Sus scrofa: one gene and its partners. The protein of the gene in region 1 binds, or shares a complex with, the protein of each later gene. Links are inferred from orthologs where the notes say so. Each region holds a gene or a part of one and is shown in the gene's direction. Other genes may lie near its edges. The genes, in order: RBM15, WTAP, CBLL1, ZC3H13 and METTL14.

Region 1 (4,253 bases):
GTGTGTGTGTGTGTGTGTGTGTGTGTGTGTGTGTGTGTGTGTGTGTGTGTGTGTGTGTCTTTTATCCATTCATCTGTCGGTGGACATTTAGGTTGTGTCCATGTCTTGGCTATTGTAAATAGTAAAGCACCATTCTTAAAGCAGGCAGATACTAACACAGTTACTATGTATTTTCCCACTACATTAGTTACCTAAGGAATTGTCTATATCATTTGTTATAAAATATTTTCCTGTCAAAGTACTGCAAAGAAGGGGAGAATGAACACTGGGGAGTCACCCATAATATGTAAGGATGACTTCAAAACAAATGCTTTTCACAGACTGGGAAAAAAAACAAATAATTCTATAGGACATATATTATTCTTCTTAAATATCTGTAAATTATATTGGCTCTCTAAACCTCAGTTTCCTTAACTGATAAAAAAAAAAAGAGAGAATTATAAGCCTATCCATCTCCACAGGTTGTTGCGAGGCTAAAGCAAGCCAATGGGAGGAAAGTTTTAGCAGAGCACCTGGTATGTCATTACTCAGTAAAGGCTGGCTTTTATTTTTATTATCTAGTTGTGAGTTATGTAATCTCATTTATTTGTTCAGATTTCAACCTGTGGGAAGGAGAGGCTGCTGCTGAAGAGCATGTCGTTTCCAACAACCAGGTTCACACGGGATATGGTGGAAAGCGACCCACAGTGGTAGTTACTGGCCTCAGGTTCTGTCCCACACCCTGCGGATTTATGTGCCAGATCCAGAAAGTCACAGAACATAGAATTCTAGGATTTTATGGGAGGCAGATTTTGTCAAGAGAAGCTAGGACTCTAGATTTGGGCTCCTGCTCCTTTCCCTTTGACTCTACTGCCTCTTTCTTTAAAACAAAACAAACAAAAATTACCACCACTGGCACAGCTGTAATTAGCCTCTCTAAATCTCAGTTTCCAAGTCTGCAATTAAGATAATCATATTTGCCCTAACGCATATGATTACTATGAGGATTAAATTGGATAATGTAAGGGAAATCATAAAATGACTGTTTTAATTGACTCTTGCTAAGTATGTACCATCAGCTTTATATACATTGTGTCTTGAAATTCACCCTGTAGGTAGTTGTGGAAGAGACTGTTGGTGACCCCAAGACCTGTTCTCCCTCTTTTCCTTAGAAATAAGACCCCTGAAAAACAAATACCATATGATATCACTTACATGTAGAATCTAAAATATGGCACAAATGAACCTATCTACAGAACAGAAACAGACTCACAGAGGCAGAAAACAGACTTGTGGTTGCCAAGGGGAAGGGGGAGGGAGTGAGATAGACTGGGAGTTTGGGATTAGTGGATGCAAACTATTACATTTAGAATGGCTAAAAAATAAGGTCCTACTGTATAGCACAGGGAACTATCTCCTGGAAGAGACCATGATGGAAGATAATGTAAGAAAAAGAATGTAGAGCTGGGTCACTTTGCTGTACAGCAGAAATTGGCACAACATTGTAAATGAACGAAGTTTCAATAAATTTTTTTCTTTTTAAGACTCCTGATTTTTAGTTGGGCTAAAGTAAGATACAGAATTATACCCCCCAGCATTCCTTGCTAAGTGTGGTTGCAGGTCTATGTTTTGGTGAATGAGATAGAAGCGGAGTTTTAGTGAGTCACTTCTGGGAAGTGTCTTAAAAGGAGGAGGACATGTTGTTCCATCTTCACCCGCTGGGTGACTGGAATGGTTATTTTATGGCTGGAACTTGAAAAGCCGTATTAGATCATATGGCAGCATAACAATCTCAGAACATCAAAAGAGAAGGAAATGATCCATTTCTTGAAAGTCTTCTGATAATAAAAAAGAGTCATAGTAACATAATGAGTGAAAAATGCAAATCTCAGATTACAAGTTAGTATGAAGTTACAAAACGAGCAAAACTAAAATAACATACATTTAAGGCGCATGTATGTGCATGTGCGTGAACACACATTTGCACGCATACACATATATGGATTCCTTAAAGTTCCTTAAAAATTTTTTTAAGTTTTTAAAACAAAACAAGGGATTGCTAAATACCAGGTTCAGGATAGTTGCTATCTATGAGGGTAGGCAGTGGATAAGGGAGGAACATTTAGGTAGATGCAGATTATTGGTAACTTTCTACTTGTTGGATTGAATGATAGGTTCATGGGTATTCATTATGTTCTTGACTAAGTGAAAAGTTTAAAGGCCCATAGATGAACCACTGATGATTGTGTGTCATGAACTAAGGATTGTGATTAATTCAATTCTACGTACTTAAGTTCAAAGAGAAAATATACTAGTGATAGCAATATATGCTTACCATGTGCCAGGCACTCTTCTAAGCTCCTTGTACAGTCAGATGACCCATGGTTGGTTGACTCTGAGGATGCCAACCATATATTTTAACCCTTTTAATCCTCCCAGTAAAGAGGTTCTATGATTGTTCCCATTTTATAGATGAGAAAATAAAGGCTCAGAGGGATTAACAGTAACTCTTTTGAGACCCACAGCAGAGCTGGGATTTAATCCAGGCTAGCTGGTTCTAGAGTTCATGCTCTTAACTACTGCCCTATAAAATGTCTAAATAAATGAAAGAGATAATTATATTAGGGCTTAGTCACCTAGGAGAAATTATAGCAGAGGCTTTCTGTAACAGTGCTGCAGGATGAGCCACACGCACAGCTCTTTAAGTATACTAAAAACCAATGAATTGTAAGCTCTAAATGGGTAAACTTTATGGTATATAAATTATATCTTAATAAAGCTTTTTTTTAAAAAAAAACCCCCACAAACCACAAATAAATGACTTTAGGATGCAAACTGTGTTCTAAGTGATTGTTTGCTATTTTAGCTATTGCATATATGTCTATGGGTAAAAGAGACGTATTCTGCAAACAAAACAAGCATTACAGTCAGGAGACCACTCACTTTGCAAGAAAATGAAACAGAAAATTTTAATCTACTACTATGAGCGGGAGAATTGTTTTTTAAATCCCCAGCTTCAGGGTTTTTTTTTTTTTGCATCTGCCAGGAAATCAAATGGCTTTCAGCGCCCAGGACAAATTTCATATTGTAATCATAACTGTCTCTGTGTGTATTGAGAATACACAAATAATAAAACATAGGAAGGAAGGGGTGGAAAGAGCACATTTGATTGAAAACACTGATACCTTTTAATTGCACAACTTTCTTTCATGTGCATAACTTTTATTTTGCTTTTCCTTTTTAATCTAAAACTGATTTTATAGGAGACGGAGAAAGCACTTCATTTAGACAGCTTAGCTATGTTTGCTCTCCGCCTGGGCTGTTTCCTCTAGGGCGTTTGAGTTGTACAGCTCCAAGGCTCCAAGGGGTCAGCATTGAGGTCAGAATAGGCAATGGCTACTTTCCTCAACACTATTTTTTGGTTTCTGACAAGGCATTGAAAGGAGAGATCAACATGCTGCTCTGATGCTCAGGGAATCTGTGTTTTCCTGACCGCTGAAAGATCCTCTTCACCGGGCCAGTTACCCTCGCAAATCTGGCCAGAGATCACAAGACCAGATGAAAGCCTGGACGGGACCTCAACAGCTCCATCACCAACACTAGAAAAAGTGCTCAGTCTTGGCTTTCTAAACCATGGGTCACTTTTATCCTCTTTCAGCCCTCTCTAAAGCACATGTGTGAACATAGGCTGATACACCCTCACTAAGGCACTTCATACTTTAAAGAACACAAAGAAAATGAAAACAAATCACTTATTTTAACTATAGCTTGGATCAACATACCATGTCATTTTTCACTTCTGTCGTGGACACTTGTACGTGTGCACACACACACAATTATGTTTTGACTCTAGTTATCAAAAGAGATAATGGAATCCAGGCTATTTCTGTCTACCCATTAATTTACCAGTCCTCTTGATACGAGATAGGCTGTCACCCCCCCCCCACCCCCGCTTAGCTAAGCCTTCCTGCTGCAGCCACATGTGGGCAATAGCTTCCATCAAGCTTTCTGGTATTTTGAATGGCAAGCCACTAAGCCTAGCAGAGCCCTGGCCACTGCCACACATACCAGTATAGGCTCCCTGAATTTCTCCTTCAACTTTCATGCTCCCTCAGTCTATATCGTGAGGCTTAGGAAACTAAACTTATTTGGTCTTTTTTTTGACCAGTGAGTCATCTAAGCAAGTCAATTTAGGTCAAAAATAATCACCTGGGAGCTTAATTTATTTGGATTGGCTATAACACTAGTTAAAGTGGCTTAACTTTAAATTTGTG
Region 2 (4,154 bases), on another chromosome or scaffold:
CAGGGATCGAACCCATGGATGTTAGTTGGGTTTGTTAACCGCTGAGCCACAACAGGAACTCCGATTTCTAAACTTCTGTGAGGACAGTGCAACAAGAAACCTTGCCTACATGTTATTTCTGTATGTGAGGATGTATTTTCAGAATCAGGTTAGGGTTAGAGGTGGAATTTGCAAGACATGTGAATAAGTGCATATATAATCTTGGTACTCCATAGGGCTTGAATCACTTTCCAATTCCTACCAGAAGGTTAATGAGCACGGTTTATTCGTAGAATTCCAATGTGCATTTCCATTACGCGCGAGGACAAACAACCGTTCATATTTAAGGATCATTGCTGTTCTTTGGTGTGAAATGTCTATTCATGCCTTGCCCATTTTTCTCTTCGGATTTTGGTCTTTGAACACACTTTAATACTATCCTTATAGATTATCTCATTCCAGCACACGTCCTGAGGATAAATGGTTTGGGTAAGGCTAGATAATACCAGCCAAATTAAAAGAATTACCTGAATATATTCAAATTTTAAAACTTACATTACTAGGTTCAAAAACCTTCCAAGGTTCTCCGGTCCCTTGTTTCTGGATGACCAAGGTGCCCCTAGGGCTGCTGACATACGCACAACCTCTCCGCTAGACAACAATAGCTCCCCGGTTGCGCCTCGAGATGTCAAGGCGGGGACAAACCAAGCGTCCAAGAGGCCGTCCTTCCCGAAGAAAGAGGGAGCCCCGGTTTCTAAATTCTCAAAACCTAGTGAGGCCTCGCGGAGTCCACACTGCCCAGCCGCCCAGCCCACGGCCCGCTGCCGAGGTCGCACCTGGCCGCCAGCACGCGGAAGCACCACGGCTGGGAGCTGCACCAAGACGCGGCCAATCACGCGCCGCCTTCGCCCAGATTCCTCCGCCAGAGGCCGCGCTGCAGCCGCAGGTGGCCCAGCGAGCGCGTCCAACCAGCGCCACCGAGCGCGACCCCCGCCGGCCTTCCCGTGATGCCCCGCGGCTGACCTGCGACCTCGCGGCTCACCCCTCCCCGCGGCCCGCTTCCCTCCCCGCCCCCGCCGAGCTGGAAGCGCTGGGGCGGCCGCGGGCCGTGCCACTAGGCGCAGCTCCTCCCCGAGCGCCTCGAGGCCCCCAGCGGGCGCCTTCCATTCGTCTTTCCTCTCCGCGGCGGGGCCTGGCGGGCGGGTCGCTGCGTCCGCGTCCGGGAGGTGACTCGTCGGTGAGCGGGCCGAGCGCGAACATGGCGGGATGGAGAAGGGCGGGCGCCGGCGGCGGCGGCGGCGCGGGGCGGGGCGGCGCGGCGGGAGGAGCGGGGAAGGGGGTGGGGCGACGGGGCCTCGCTTCCTCCCTCAGCGCCATTTTGTGGCAGCGAGACCCGCAAATAAAGGGGAGCGCCAGGGCTGCGGCGGGAGGAGGCGCGCGGGGGCCGGCGGCAGCGCGGTCGGGCGGCCCGGGCAGCGAGCGGCGGCGCGCGGTCGGCCTATGTGACTGGGCGGCGCCCGCGCGGCCTCCGTCCGGAGAGGTAGGTGCGGGCCGGGCCCCGGCCAGAGCGGCGGCGAGGACCTCAGGGTCCCCGGGGCTGAGGCGCGGCCGCCTGGCCCGGCAAAGGGGCGGACAGGGCACGGAGGGCGACTCGGGGTCCCCGGGCCCGCCAGCCTCCCGTTAGCCGCGCCGCCTTCCTGCTGCGGGCACACTTCCGCCGCCCCGAGGCCATTTTACCTTCGCTCTCCGTCTCCGGGCCCGAGGGCGAGGTGGGCGCTCCCGCGGGCCGGCGGCACCGGGAGGCCGCCCCCTCGGCGCGCGTCCCGTCCCCGCCTCGGTGCCGCCGGCGCCCACCTCCTTTCGAGCGGATCCCGCGGTCTGGCGGCACCCACGAGCTCAGCAGGGGAGGGAAAGCAGCGTTCGTTGACCGAATTTCACGTCGCGCAGTGGGGTATTACCGCCGCTGCGTTTTCTTGTGGACTTCCATTTTCAAATGATTGCACGCATCGTGGTTTTTAAAATACATGCTCTTTTGAGCCCGAGATCTTCATAGCATTTTAAACTCTCGTCTTGGATTCCTATAAAGCTGTTTTTAATTTCTTAGAACCCTGTTTCTCTAGTCAGTGGGGAACACCTCAGTGGGAAAGTCCAGGTTCTTGTTTTGATGAAGTCACTTGGCTGTTTGATCCCAAAGGACTATGTGAAAATCCTAAGGAACCCTGATTGTGAAGTAGGAAACTGTTCTTTTGCCCGAGATAGAAAAATACTTCCATGGGTATGTTACAGTCCTGAGTTGCTCCTCTCGTTTTCCATCTCAGAATTTAATTAATTCCATTGCTGAAGAAGAAAAGTGGAAGTCACAGGTCTTTCACCCCAAGTTCTAAGCGGGTTTTTTGCACTTTTAAAGAAAACTTGAATTGTTGATTTACAATGTTACATGAGTGTCAGGCGTACAGTGGAAGTGATTATCCACTGAGTTTTTTATTTTAAAATTTTGACTGTTAAGGTTTCTGTGACATAAACATAGAGGTATTTAAAGCTCTGTTAAAAAATTGCAAGATGCCTGCATTTTATTTATTTACACCTGTCATTCAGTAGCGTCCGATTAGGCAAGTTGGGAAAAGAAATCACGAGCATTAGAAATTGGGAAAGATCTTGCTGTATACACAGGGAGCTGTATCTAATCACTTGTAGTGGAACCCAATGCAGGGCAATGTGAGAAAAAGTGTGTGTGTATGTATATATATATATAAATAACTGGGTCCCTTTGCTGAACAATACAAGTTGACAGAACATTGTAAATTAACTATAATAAAAATTTTAGACTAAAAGACAAAAAATTTGACAAAAACAAAAAAAATTTAAAGAAATTGGGACTTGTGATAAAGATGGGGTTCGATTTTAAGGGTTTGGGTGGCTGTATTCCTTGAGTTCTTTCAAATCTTGCATTATTTTAAGCAGATGGCTGTAGTTAAGTGATCAGTATTTTCACTTCTCAGTGGTGGAACTCAGGCAATTTCGAAGTCCAGAAGGACAAAAGTAATAATAAGTGTGTCCCAGGCACTGCTGTTTTTTACTTAGCTCATCTATGAAACTTAATAATATCTAGATTTCTGGTTGAATTTTGTGTATTTGCCAGAAATGAGTTAGTATAGTGTAGAAAACCCATGGCAGCGTTATGACGTGGAGATGACAGTTGCAGTAATACAAGTTATTAGAAGTTATTAGCTCTGAAAGCTAATAATTATGAAGTTATTAGTTTTCAGGGTCCCTTACAGTTTTGTGTGTATATATGTAGACTGGAATACCCTAGACAACATTTTTTTAGATGTCTTGTTGATCATTTTCATATAATTGTACATTATCTCACTTCTGAAAAAAATGTTCCTTGCTCCTAAAAATTTGTGGGATCCTTTGGCAAAACAAGACCTAGATAGTGTTCATTTGGTTTATTCTTGTTTTTTATTATCACTCACTCTTCTGCCTCTAAATATTTTCTGCCAAGCTTGTCAGAGCAAAACTTCGATTCTTATAACAGTGTATCTCATTGGATATAAAGGTGGTGCATCAGGTTAGAACCAGTGCTATAAGTAAATGTTCTCAAGTCTTGAAATATAGTTGGTGGAATTTAATCTTTCCTAAAAGCACATTAAAGTTCTCTTTTATGTTAATGTTAGTATTTAAATTTGAATTTTTTTTGTTTGTATGGCATCTTTATGGCACTTGAAGCATTGAGATGTGCGGCACTTTGCAAAGCAGGGAAAATTGGTATCCTCTTCTTGCTGATTGGGAGACTGCAGTCCAAGTAGTGGCTTGCTGCTACATAGTCAAGACAAGCTGGTCTTCCAGTTCCTCACTAGTAGACTTTACAGTGTCAGATTAGTTCCTTAAGTTGGATTATGATTAGTTTCAGCGAGGTACATGCTTTCTTACTGAAGTTGTGTGGGCTAGTGCGTGATGCTCTGTTAAGGGAGAACTTACGACACCAAGAGCCAGGGAAGTACTGGAATCTGGGATGCTAGACACCTAGCCAGCCAAAACTGAGTTCTCCAGCCAAAGCTGTCTGTCAGTGTAAAGCATCAAGAGTAGATTCTGACATTCTAAACACGAGAACTATATTATTTCTGAGTTCTTGACGTGGATAACAAACTTTTACATACAACATAAAATAGTAT
Region 3 (3,515 bases), on another chromosome or scaffold:
ATCATTTCAACAGATAAACATCTTGGGTGAAAAGGATGATACACCAGTTCATTTCTGTGATAAATGTGGATTGCCTATTAAAATCTATGGGCGAATGGTAAGTAAAACTAAATTCTATTTTTTTAAGTGTAAATATTTGTGTAGAGGTAGGATCCTGAAATTTAAGTAGCTAAGTTTATCATTGTTTAATGTTTAAATTTGTAATATTTTAAATAAGTATAAAATAGCTATGGGAAATTTGGGGATAATAAGTATTTAATATAATTATCTTGACAAATTCTTGAATTGCTTGTAAAATAATTAGTTAAGGAAGCTAATTGAAAGCCAGATAATTTCTTTGGACTGTTTGAAATCTGTTAGTCTACATTTATTCTAGTTTATTGGGGAAATTTTTTTTCTTGCTTAATAGAATAAAATCAGTTATTCATTTCTGAAGACTATAATCTTCAATGTAAAACTGAATTTATAGAATTTTTGATGGTTTCTGAGAATTGAATTCTAATCATTAGAAAAAAATACAGCCCTGTTGGTAACTTTATAGTTATTTTGACATATCCTCCCTTAAGAAAAAGATAGTTTTATATTTGTGTTGGGAAAAAAAATTGAATTCTGTGTTGTATCTGTGATGGTAGAGGGCATGGATTATGGACTGTTGCTTTGGTCCATAACATAACTAAGTAGCAGTAATGGGCTGTGAGTTTTTAAATGGTGTAACATCATTTTACTCTGTCCTTCTGATTTGTTTTTAGAGATTTGTTAAATTCATTAACTTAAGACTACCAGGGAAGAATGCTATGTATATTAAATGTAGAAGATACTTGTTCTTTTACTGCTTTGGAATACTTTCAGGAGATACAGGATTCACTATGACATTCTACAGTATTCCTCAGGAGCTTTTTAACCTGTAGGGACCATGAATGTGTAAGCAAATGTGCATGTGTACGTTTATTGGGGAAAGGGCCAAAGTTTTCATCACACTCTCTTAATTGTTGTTTTCATATATTTAGTACTTAATAAATGTTCATTGTAAGAAACAGTTCTCAGGTGCCTTCTTAGCAACTTTCTTCTCAGATCACTATGCTGCTGTTATTTTTTGTGGAAATATTTTTATTTGTTCTAGTATGCTTAACTGTAATATGTTTCTGTTTACAGATTCCATGCAAGCATGTTTTTTGCTATGACTGTGCTATTTTACATGAAAAAAAGGGGGATAAGATGTGTCCAGGGTAAGATCATCATTAAATATTTAAATAATAAAGTTTGCGATGTAATGATTTGTAATATAGATTAAAGATCAGGGTGTGATATAAACCAGTGGAAGGATATCAGATGTGTGGACATAGCAGATCATTTTTGTGAGCCTGGAGTTGACCTTAGCTTTCTCCCTAGGATAGGACTAATTAGCTATTATCAATCAATTCAAATTGGTCAAAATAAAAGTATATTTGCCATCACGAAGTTAGCATTATAAACCAAAAATAGTTATTTTCTTGTTTTAATGGCACAATAGAGATGTAGTATCATGTAATAATTGAGAGTAAAAACTCTGGAATTAGAATTCCTGAGTTCAGATCCCTACTTTGTCATTTATTAGCTGTGTGGCCTAGGCTTTCTTCATTTGTAAAATGGAGCTAATAATAGTACTTACCTCCCTGGATTATTATTATTAGAATTAAATGAGTTAATACATATATAGTATCTACCACGTAGTAAATGCTGTGTAAGTATAAGCTTTTATTACTTATTACCTTCAAAGCTGATTATGTTTTGGCTATATCGTAGAATACCATCATGGCATAGACTCAGACAGATTATAAAGATCTGGAAGTGCTGGTTGGTAGTAATCTTTTTTGGGATGGTCTTGAAGGATCCGGAATAAACTGAATTTTTACATCAATTCAGAAGTGCTGATAGAAGGCTTGAGAAAAGCTTTGAGGGAACTTAGAGCAACTATAGGCTTCCTAGATTCCCTATAACCTATGTCAGAACCTATCCCAAGGGTCGTAGTGTTAGTTGATAACAAAGCTATGGACACTTGTAAGGAGTAATTTTCTTTTGTAGTATAGAAACATTGGCATGACTGAAAGAGAATGGATGATTCATTGGCAAACCACTGACAACTAATTTTCTTGGCATATCTGTATTAGCCTGTCAGAATCACAGATTATAGAATTTGTAGTGAGAGTTTAAAAATATTTCCTCCCTAGGAGCTCCCGTCGTGGCTCAGCGGAAATGAATCTTAACTAGCATCCATGAGGATGCAGGTTCAGTCCCTGGCTGAGCTACATAGGTTGAGGATCTGGCATTGCCATGAGCTGTGGTATAGGTTGCAGATGTGGCTTGGATCTGGTGTTGCTGTGGCTGTGGTATAGGCCAGTGGCTGCAGCTGTGATTGGACCCTAGCCTAGGAACTTCCATATGCTGCGGTCCTACAGCCCTAAAAAAAAAAAAACCAAAAAATTTCCTCCCTAGAATTATGCTTCAGAAGTCATGACATTACAAGCACATATTCATTGTTTGCCTCATTTTCTCTAATGCCTAATTTCCCAGCGTGGTGTGCATCTACTTTAGATTGTATAGTAAATTTGATTGCTTCACTGGAATAAAGGAATTTGGATGTTTAAAATGCTGTGTAGAGGACATCAAAACGTTTTTTCTTTCATATAAATGTTCTAGTATTAATATTTAATAGGAAATTTAGTTTTCAAGATACTGAGTATAATTCCAGTAAGCACCTTACTGGTTGGTCTTAAAGTGTATTAGAACATAAGCCTACCTGGATTAACAGATGTAGGCTAGGAAGTGAAGAAATGGCAGTCCAAATTAATGTAAATATTATATACTAATGCTTTTAAGAATCACCCAGAAGTGCCTTACATCCTGTTAGTGTGGTGCTATTTCAGAGCTTATAGCAAATTAGAAGCAAAAAATGACGAGTGTGCCAAATGGCAACTAAAGGAAAGCCTACTAGTATCAAGCAGAACCAGCCTACAACAAGGAAGGAGAAATAGCACTCAAAATTAAGAATATAGCACCATTTATTATGGTGTCATGTGACCTGACAGACATATTCAGTAATAATAGCTTATACATGTATAGTGCTTAACTAGGCATTAAGTACTGTCATTTTCATGTTTTGATACTAAGGATACTGTCTCTCCTTTTTTTAATTAAAATTTTTTTTTTATTTCGCCTTGCCTGTGGCGTGTGGAAGTTCCCAAGCCAGGGATCGAACCTGTGCCACAGCAGTGACCCAAGCTGCTGTGGTGACAAAGCCAGATCCTTAACCTGCTGTGCCACAAGAGAACTCCCAAAGATACTCTTTTAAGTAGGACAAAGAAGATATAAAAACCTTTCTGGTTAGGTAGAGTAGATGTTTTAACCCCATTTTACAGATAAAGAAACAAAGTTTAAATGATTTCTCCAAGTTCACAGCCGAGAAATACTACATCCCAGTTCTGGTTCCTGGTTCAGTCCTCTTTCCACTATATCAAGAAGACTGTAATGACAAGAAT
Region 4 (3,515 bases), on another chromosome or scaffold:
ATTTCAATAAAGAAATGAAGGCATCCTTTTGAAATTAGTAGATTTCTCTGGATTTACGTAAAGTTTTCTTATAAAAAATTAACAAAATTAGCAGTTAATGTTGGTAGATTTTATTTCTCATGTTTTAATTATAGTCTTTTAACCTCTTTTGATATTGCTGTCCATATTGTGTTCTTGCCATTAAAACTAAGTTTAACTAATACAGTTTACGTTTTCTTTTAGAATTATTGAGTGTATTGAATAAGAAATGTAGTTGTCAAATAAAAAATGCTTTTCCATTTTTTTAGTGTGCACAGTCTCTCCTCTTTGGTTTCACTAAAAAGTCTCTTTCCCTTAATGCTCTCTTTGATGTGAAATTAATTTTTCCCTTCAGCAGGAGATGACGAATCTAAGTTAGACGATGCACATTCGTTAGGATCTGGGGCTGGAGAAGGATACGAGCCAATTAGTGATGATGAACTAGATGAAATTCTGGCAGGTGATGCCGAAAAGAGGGAGGACCAACAGGATGAGGAGAAGATGCCAGGTAATCATTTGCAGAGGTGTTGAACATACAAAATATTTAATCATGGTATTGAGGTATTCTTTGTTCCCTTTCACACTGGAAGAATTGATAAAACAGAATTTTCCCATTTATGTTGTAATTAACATTGAGAGGTCAATAAAATGAAAATTATAGTTAATATGCTTTGCTTATTTTTAAGTAGACAGTTGCCTGTAAATTGGAAAGGGCAATATTTAAAATAGCAAAATTGTAAGATTATCTTTCCAGAGTTTAATTCATATTACATGACCTGGAATTTAACCAAATAGTAATTGTCTAGCAGTATTCTCAATGGTAGGTACCTGGTACAGAGCTTCACAGCTGTGCTGCCACAAACCAAGTTTTGAAACAACCGTTCCAGAATTTACAAAGGTTGAAATTATATTTGAACACTATTTATATACCTCTATCAGTTTTCTAAATTCAGTAATTATTTTCACTCACAGTACTTTATTCATAGCTAGAGCTTGCTCCAGTGACTGTACCATGAAGCAGCAACCCTTAATGTTCTTGTTGAATCGTCCCAATTAGTCTGATCGTTACTACAGAATATTTTTTTTAGTCATAGTGAGGGTCTTTGGGTATGTAGAATATTAAATTTTTTTTTTTTTTTTTTTTTTTTTTTTTTTTTTTTGTCTTTTGTTGTTGTTGTTGTTGTTGTTGCTATTTCTTGGGCCGCTCCCGCGGCATATGGAGGTTCCCAGGCTAGGGGCTGAATCGGAGCCGTAGCCACCGGCCTACGCCAGAGCCATAGCAACGCGGGATCCGAGCCGCGTCTGCAACGTACACCACAGCTCACGGCAACGCCGGATGGTTAACCCACTGAGCAAGGGCAGGGACCGAACCCGCAACCTCATGGTTCCTAGTCGGAGTCGTTAACCACTGCGCCACGACGGGAACTCCAGAATATTAAATTTTATTTTGATTTAATTTGTTCTTATATTTTCCAGTTTTTTTCTACTAATGTACATTTATGTTTTATCTTTATTATCACCAGCTATTAGGTATTTCTAAATAGAACATTATTTTGTTAATTTTGTAAACTGTTCTTTATCAATGAATAGATTATTCTCAATTTTAATCATAGCCACTGCCTGATTCTTAAAGTAATTTTATAATGCATTACTTGGTTTTTTGTTTTGCTTTTTGTTTATTTGTTTTTGGCTACACCTGTGGCATGCAGTAGTTCCCGGGCCACGATTGAACCTGTACCACAGCAGCTATCTGAGCCACAGCGGTGATGAATTATTTGTTTTTTAAAAGTACACTTTAAAAAAAAAAAAAAAAAAAAAGGAGTTCCCGTTGTGACTCAGCGGTAACGAACCCGACTGGTATCCATGAGGACGTGGGTTTGATCCCTACTTAGTGGGTTAAGGATCTGGCATTGCTGTAAGCCACGGTGTAGGTCGAAGGGCAACTTGGATCTGGCATTGCTGTGGCTGTGGCATAGGCCAGAAGCCGCAGCTCCAATTTGACCCCTAGACTGTGAACTTGTGTATGCTGCAGGTACGGCCCTGAAGAAAAAGACCAAAAAAAAAAAGTTCTGAGAGTTCTCTGGTGGCCTTGAGGTTAAGGACTTGGCATCGCCACTGCCATGGCTCGGGTTTGATCCCTGGCCCAGGAACTTTTGTATGCTGCGGCCAAAAAAAACCAAACTTAAACTGTTTTTTTTTTTTTTTTTTTTTTTTTGTCTGTGTATGCACACGCACATGCACACTAAATACTCCTAGATTTAACCCTTGAAAAGATTCTGGTACCAAATTTCAAAACATCAGACTTTATCTTAGTGAAATAATGAGTTCTTTCATTGAGGATCTCTCAAGCAATTTAAATGCATTGTGTTAGGAATGGGTTTGCTTAGGTTTGGTTTGCTTGCCTGTTTTTTAGTTTTGGGTTTTTTGTGTTTTTTTTAGTTGAAGTATAATTAACCTATATTATGCATTTATTGTATTAGTTTCACGTATACAACATAATGATTCGACATTTGTATACATTGCGAAATGATCACCACAGTAACCATCTGTCACCATGCAGAGTTACACAGGTGTTTTTCTTGTGATGAGAACTTCTCAGATTTACTTCCTAGCAACTTTTAATGTTGAAATACGATGTTATTGATTATAGTTACCTGGCTGTACATTACATCCCCATGATGTATTTATTTTGTGACTGGAAGTTTGTACCTCTTGATACCCTTCATCCATTTTGTTTAACCTTCAAATCCCTTCCCCTCTAGAGACCGTCGATCTGTTCTCTGTTTCTGTAAGTTTGGTTTCCCTTTTGTATTGTTTGATTCTTTTACTTTCTAGATTGCACATGTAGGTGAAATTGTATTCATCTTTCTCTGACTTATTTCACTGAGCATAGTATCTTTAGGGCCCTTTTGTGTGTCTCAAATTGGCGAGATTTCTTTCTTATGACTGAGTAGTAGTCCATTGTGTGTGTGGGGGGGGATATATTTCAGTGTACACAGATATGTGTCTCATACCTCCGTCTGTTCATCTGTCAGTGGACGCTGAGGTTGTTTCTACTTTGGCTACTGTAGATGATGCTACAGTGAGGGGTGCATATATATTTCCAAATTAGTATTTTGTTTGTATATCCCCAGAAGTGAAATTGCTGGGTGGTTTTTTTTTTTTTTTTTTTGAGAAACCTCCAGACTTTTTCCCTACTGGTTGCACCAGTTGACATTTCTACCAGCAGCATATGTGAGTATCCTTTTTTCCTCATCCTCGCCAACGATTCTTGTTTCTTGTCTTTTTGATAATAGCCATTCTGACAGGTGTGAGATATATCTCACTGTGGTTTTAACTTGCATTTATTTCCCTGATGATTAGTGATATTGAGCATCTTTTCATATGCCTATTGGCCATCTGTATGCCTTCTTTGGAGAAATGTCTATTCAGATCCTCTGCCCTTTTTTTTTTTAAGGGCCGCACCTGTGGCATATGGAGGTTCCCAGGCTAGGGGT
Region 5 (3,515 bases), on another chromosome or scaffold:
AATGAGGATTGTTTTGGAATTGGGTACATCAGAAATGTAAAATGTTGTAACATATGACTGTTGATGAAAAGGGATTAATCGTTGTGCTCTTACTGTTATTTAGGAACACTGCCTTATGGGAATCAAAGGAACTGTTAAGCGTAGCACAGACGGGGACTTCATTCATGCTAATGTTGACATTGACTTGATTATCACAGAAGAACCTGAAATTGGCAATATAGAAAAGCCTGTAGAAATTTTTCATATAATTGAACATTTTTGTCTTGGTAGAAGACGCCTTCATCTATTTGGACGAGATAGTACAATTCGACCAGGTAAGATGTCAGAGGAAAAAAACTTTTATAGTTCCTTGGAACATAGATGTTAAGAAGTAGCACACAGGAGTTCCTGTCGTGGCTCAGTGGAAACGAATCTGACTAGCATCCATGAGGACACAGGTTCAGTCCCTGGCCTCACTCAGTGGCTTAAGGATCCGGCGTTGCCATGGGTTTTGGTGTAGGTTGCAGACGTGGCTTGGATCCCGTGTTGCTGTGGCTGTGGTCAGTGGCTACAGCTCCAGTTCAACCCCTAGCCTGGGAACCTCCATAGGCTGCAAGTGTGGCCCTAAAAAGACAAAAAGAAGTAGCACCCAGTGCTTTGTAAAATAAAATTGTTAGGATGTGTTCGATTCCTCTTCTTGATGCACTTAGAACATGCCAAGCTCATTCTTGTCTCACTACTCTTCCATGGTCCTCTCTGCTATCATGCAGACACCTGACAGACCTTTGTCACAACCCTGTCTCAATTAGCCAACTTCCCACTTCACTCCCTCCTCTCACCACTCTCTCTCCCTTTGATCTCTTTTCTTTTTCTTCATAAAGCACTTACTGTTAACTGAATTGTAGATTCATTTGAGCATATGTTTACTCTTTCTCTTTAGCATGCAGTCTCATGGAAAGCAAAGATTGTCTTATTCTCTTCTTTCTACCTGCCATTCAGGTTATTCAGTAAATACTGTGTTGAGCCAAGTGGACATTTGGTCCACACCAAAATGTCCTTGATATTTAGTCTTGTTTAAAACATCCATAAGATGTTTGGTCCATAAGGTCAGTGCCAAAAGGTTCTTGATATTTGGCCCTGTCCAAAACCATTTGGCATGGACCACATTTTCTCATTTGCTCTAGCTCTATCAGCTAGAAATTCTGTTTAGGAGTTCCTTTTGTGGCACAGTGGTTAACGAATCCGACTAGGAACCGTGAGGTTGTGGGTTCAGTCCCTGGCCTTGCTCAGTGGGTTAAAGATCTAGCGTTGCCGTGAGCTGTGGTGTAGGTTGCAGATGTGGCTCGGATACCGCGTTGCTGTGGCTGTGTTGTAGGCTGGTGGCTACAGCTCCGATTGGACCTGTAGCCTGGGAACCTCTATATGCTGCGGGAGCAGCCCTAGAAAAGGCAAAAAGACCAAAAAAAAAAAAAAAAAAAAAAAAGAAATTCTGTTTAAAGATGAAAGGAGTCAGAATCTTACTTGTTTTAAATCTACATTTTATAAAAAGTAAAAGTTGAAAAAGTTACAGTAGAATAATTGTCCTTAGAAATACCTTAGAATTTAGAAACTCTGATGTTCATTCTGAAAAAAAGTGATCCTTAAAAGCTGCCTTATATACATAATCTATGTATATATGTGTAATATAATCTGTCCCTCCTCTCCCTACCTCTCCAGCCTAATCAGCTATTTCTTTGTGAATTGCTTTGATGAACTGATGGTCTCGAATTTCATAAAGTTGTGTAAAATGATAGAAAAATAAAACTACATTCTTTTTATGAATAAATATTTTGCATGTGAAATGTTTATTCTGGGAGTTCCCATTGTGGCTCAGCAGTAATGAACCTGACTAGGACCCATAAGCATGTGGGTTTGATCCCTGGCCTCGCTCAGTGGGTTAAGGATCTGGCATTGCCGTGAGCTGCAATGTAGATTGCAGACACGGCTTTGATCTAGTGTTGCTGTGGCTGTGTCATAGGTCGGCACCTACACCTGCAATTTGACTCCTAGCCTGGGAACTTCCCTGTGCCGCAGGTGTGGCCCTAAAAAGCAAAAAAAAAAAAAAAAAGAGAGGGAGGTTTATTGTGGATTTTGGCTTTAGAGAAAATGTTTCCTATATTTAAAAGTAAATGTTTTCTCTCCTGGCGGTTTGTTATTCAGGATTGAGTTGCTTAAATTATCATTTTGTTACTGCTTTTTGGCATAATATTGTGGTCATATAACACACACCTTAAGATTTCACTCATTTGTAGTTTGTTGAGATTTGCGTTTGATCCAATTTAAATAAATATTCCAAGTCCAGTTGATAGGAACATGTATTATTTTTGTTGTTGGTTGTAGTATTTATTTATTGCTGATTTATTTATTTATTACTGTAGTATTTATTTATTGTTGATTTCTGCCATGACTTTACTGATTTTTTTAACTGCTTATTCTGTGAGAAAGGTATATTAAATATGAAATTTATGGGTTGTGATTTTGTTTAGTTGTCAGTTTTTTATTTATATTTGCTATTCTGCTGTTAGACGTATATAATGTAGAATTTTTATGCCTTCCTAGTAGCTTGACCATCTTAATATTATGAAGTGTCCTTCTTTATCCATTGTTTCTTAGTCTAAATCTTGCTTCATCTGACATTATCATAGCTATCCCAGCTTTCTTTTGGTTTGTGTTTGCATCATATATTATTTCCATCTTATTTTCAGTCTTCTATAGCCTTACCTTTAAGGTGTATCTCTTGTGAACAACATATAGTTGGTTTTCATCCAGTTATTGTTATCTTTTTTTGTTTGTGTGTTTGCTTCCATGGCATATAGAAGTTCCCACACCAGGGATTGAACTCATGTTACAGCAGTGGCCCAGGCTACTGCAGTGACACCACCAGATCCTGCTGTGCCAATGAGAACTCCTTGTCTTTTTCTTTTAATTGAATTGTTTAATCAGTCTGTATTTAATGTAATTCCTGCTATATATGTCGTAATTACCATCTTACTGTTTGCTTTATGTTGTTACCACCTGTTTTATATTCCTTTTTCTCTCATTTCTTTGGCTTGATTCAGGTATTCTTATATTACTCATTTTTTTCTTTTTTATTAGCTTGTTAATTACATGTTCTTTTACTGTTCCCTCAGTGATTATCTTGGAAATTGCAGCATTCATCCTTGAATTATGAAATTCTAAATTAAAATAGTATGTTGATTTTTAAAGGGTGGCAATGCTATGGTTTAAACTTCATAGTTTCCTTAATCTTTTTGGCAAGTTTTGCTCAACGTTCAATTCTTGCATAAGTTATTATATATAAAGCTATAGAATGAGCTTTGAGTTGTTTAGACTTCCACTGTGCATAATGAACACCTTGTTTAGAAGTTTTGTGGATGATTTTATTCTCTTATCAAAGTAAAATATTTTGGCAGCAGAGCTTGTGACAAGCAAATGTTTTCTTTTCACTGGCTTAAAAGAAAGTAACATCAATAACAGTCAGAAATTGGTTGTATTTC

What was found.
Region 2: RBM15 (region 1) and WTAP share a complex: the UniProt entries of both Homo sapiens proteins name them as parts of the WMM complex. The link is inferred for Sus scrofa from reciprocal best matches to the Homo sapiens genes RBM15 and WTAP.
Region 3: RBM15 (region 1) and CBLL1 share a complex: the UniProt entries of both Homo sapiens proteins name them as parts of the WMM complex. The link is inferred for Sus scrofa from reciprocal best matches to the Homo sapiens genes RBM15 and CBLL1.
Region 4: RBM15 (region 1) and ZC3H13 share a complex: the UniProt entries of both Homo sapiens proteins name them as parts of the WMM complex. The link is inferred for Sus scrofa from reciprocal best matches to the Homo sapiens genes RBM15 and ZC3H13.
Region 5: RBM15 (region 1) and METTL14 share a complex: the UniProt entries of both Homo sapiens proteins name them as parts of the WMM complex. The link is inferred for Sus scrofa from reciprocal best matches to the Homo sapiens genes RBM15 and METTL14.

Annotation. Positions count from the first base shown.
Region 1 is NC_010446.5:109,788,744-109,792,996, reverse strand, and holds the start of RBM15 (putative RNA-binding protein 15), read left to right. Parts: upstream 1-1,441; 5' UTR 1,442-4,253. UniProt on the Homo sapiens protein: RNA-binding protein that acts as a key regulator of N6-methyladenosine (m6A) methylation of RNAs, thereby regulating different processes, such as hematopoietic cell homeostasis, alternative splicing of mRNAs and X chromosome inactivation mediated by Xist RNA.
Region 2 is NC_010443.5:7,648,472-7,652,625, reverse strand, and holds the start of WTAP (pre-mRNA-splicing regulator WTAP), read left to right. Parts: upstream 1-1,353; 5' UTR 1,354-1,418; coding exon of another isoform or gene 1,419-1,591; intron 1,592-1,691; coding exon of another isoform or gene 1,692-1,857; intron 1,858-1,982; coding exon of another isoform or gene 1,983-1,986; intron 1,987-4,154. Other genes in the region: uncharacterized protein LOC102157641, read right to left, coding at 535-1,345, 1,419-1,591, 1,692-1,857, 1,983-1,986. UniProt on the Homo sapiens protein: Associated component of the WMM complex, a complex that mediates N6-methyladenosine (m6A) methylation of RNAs, a modification that plays a role in the efficiency of mRNA splicing and RNA processing.
Region 3 is NC_010451.4:107,466,637-107,470,151, forward strand, and holds part of CBLL1 (E3 ubiquitin-protein ligase Hakai), read left to right. Parts: intron 1-13; coding exon 14-97; intron 98-1,152; coding exon 1,153-1,226; intron 1,227-3,515. UniProt on the Homo sapiens protein: E3 ubiquitin-protein ligase that mediates ubiquitination of several tyrosine-phosphorylated Src substrates, including CDH1, CTTN and DOK1. Targets CDH1 for endocytosis and degradation.
Region 4 is NC_010453.5:21,375,548-21,379,062, forward strand, and holds part of ZC3H13 (zinc finger CCCH domain-containing protein 13), read left to right. Parts: intron 1-373; coding exon 374-526; intron 527-3,515. UniProt on the Homo sapiens protein: Associated component of the WMM complex, a complex that mediates N6-methyladenosine (m6A) methylation of RNAs, a modification that plays a role in the efficiency of mRNA splicing and RNA processing.
Region 5 is NC_010450.4:105,026,104-105,029,618, reverse strand, and holds part of METTL14 (N6-adenosine-methyltransferase subunit METTL14), read left to right. Parts: intron 1-103; coding exon 104-314; intron 315-3,515. UniProt on the Homo sapiens protein: The METTL3-METTL14 heterodimer forms a N6-methyltransferase complex that methylates adenosine residues at the N(6) position of some mRNAs and regulates the circadian clock, differentiation of embryonic stem cells and cortical neurogenesis.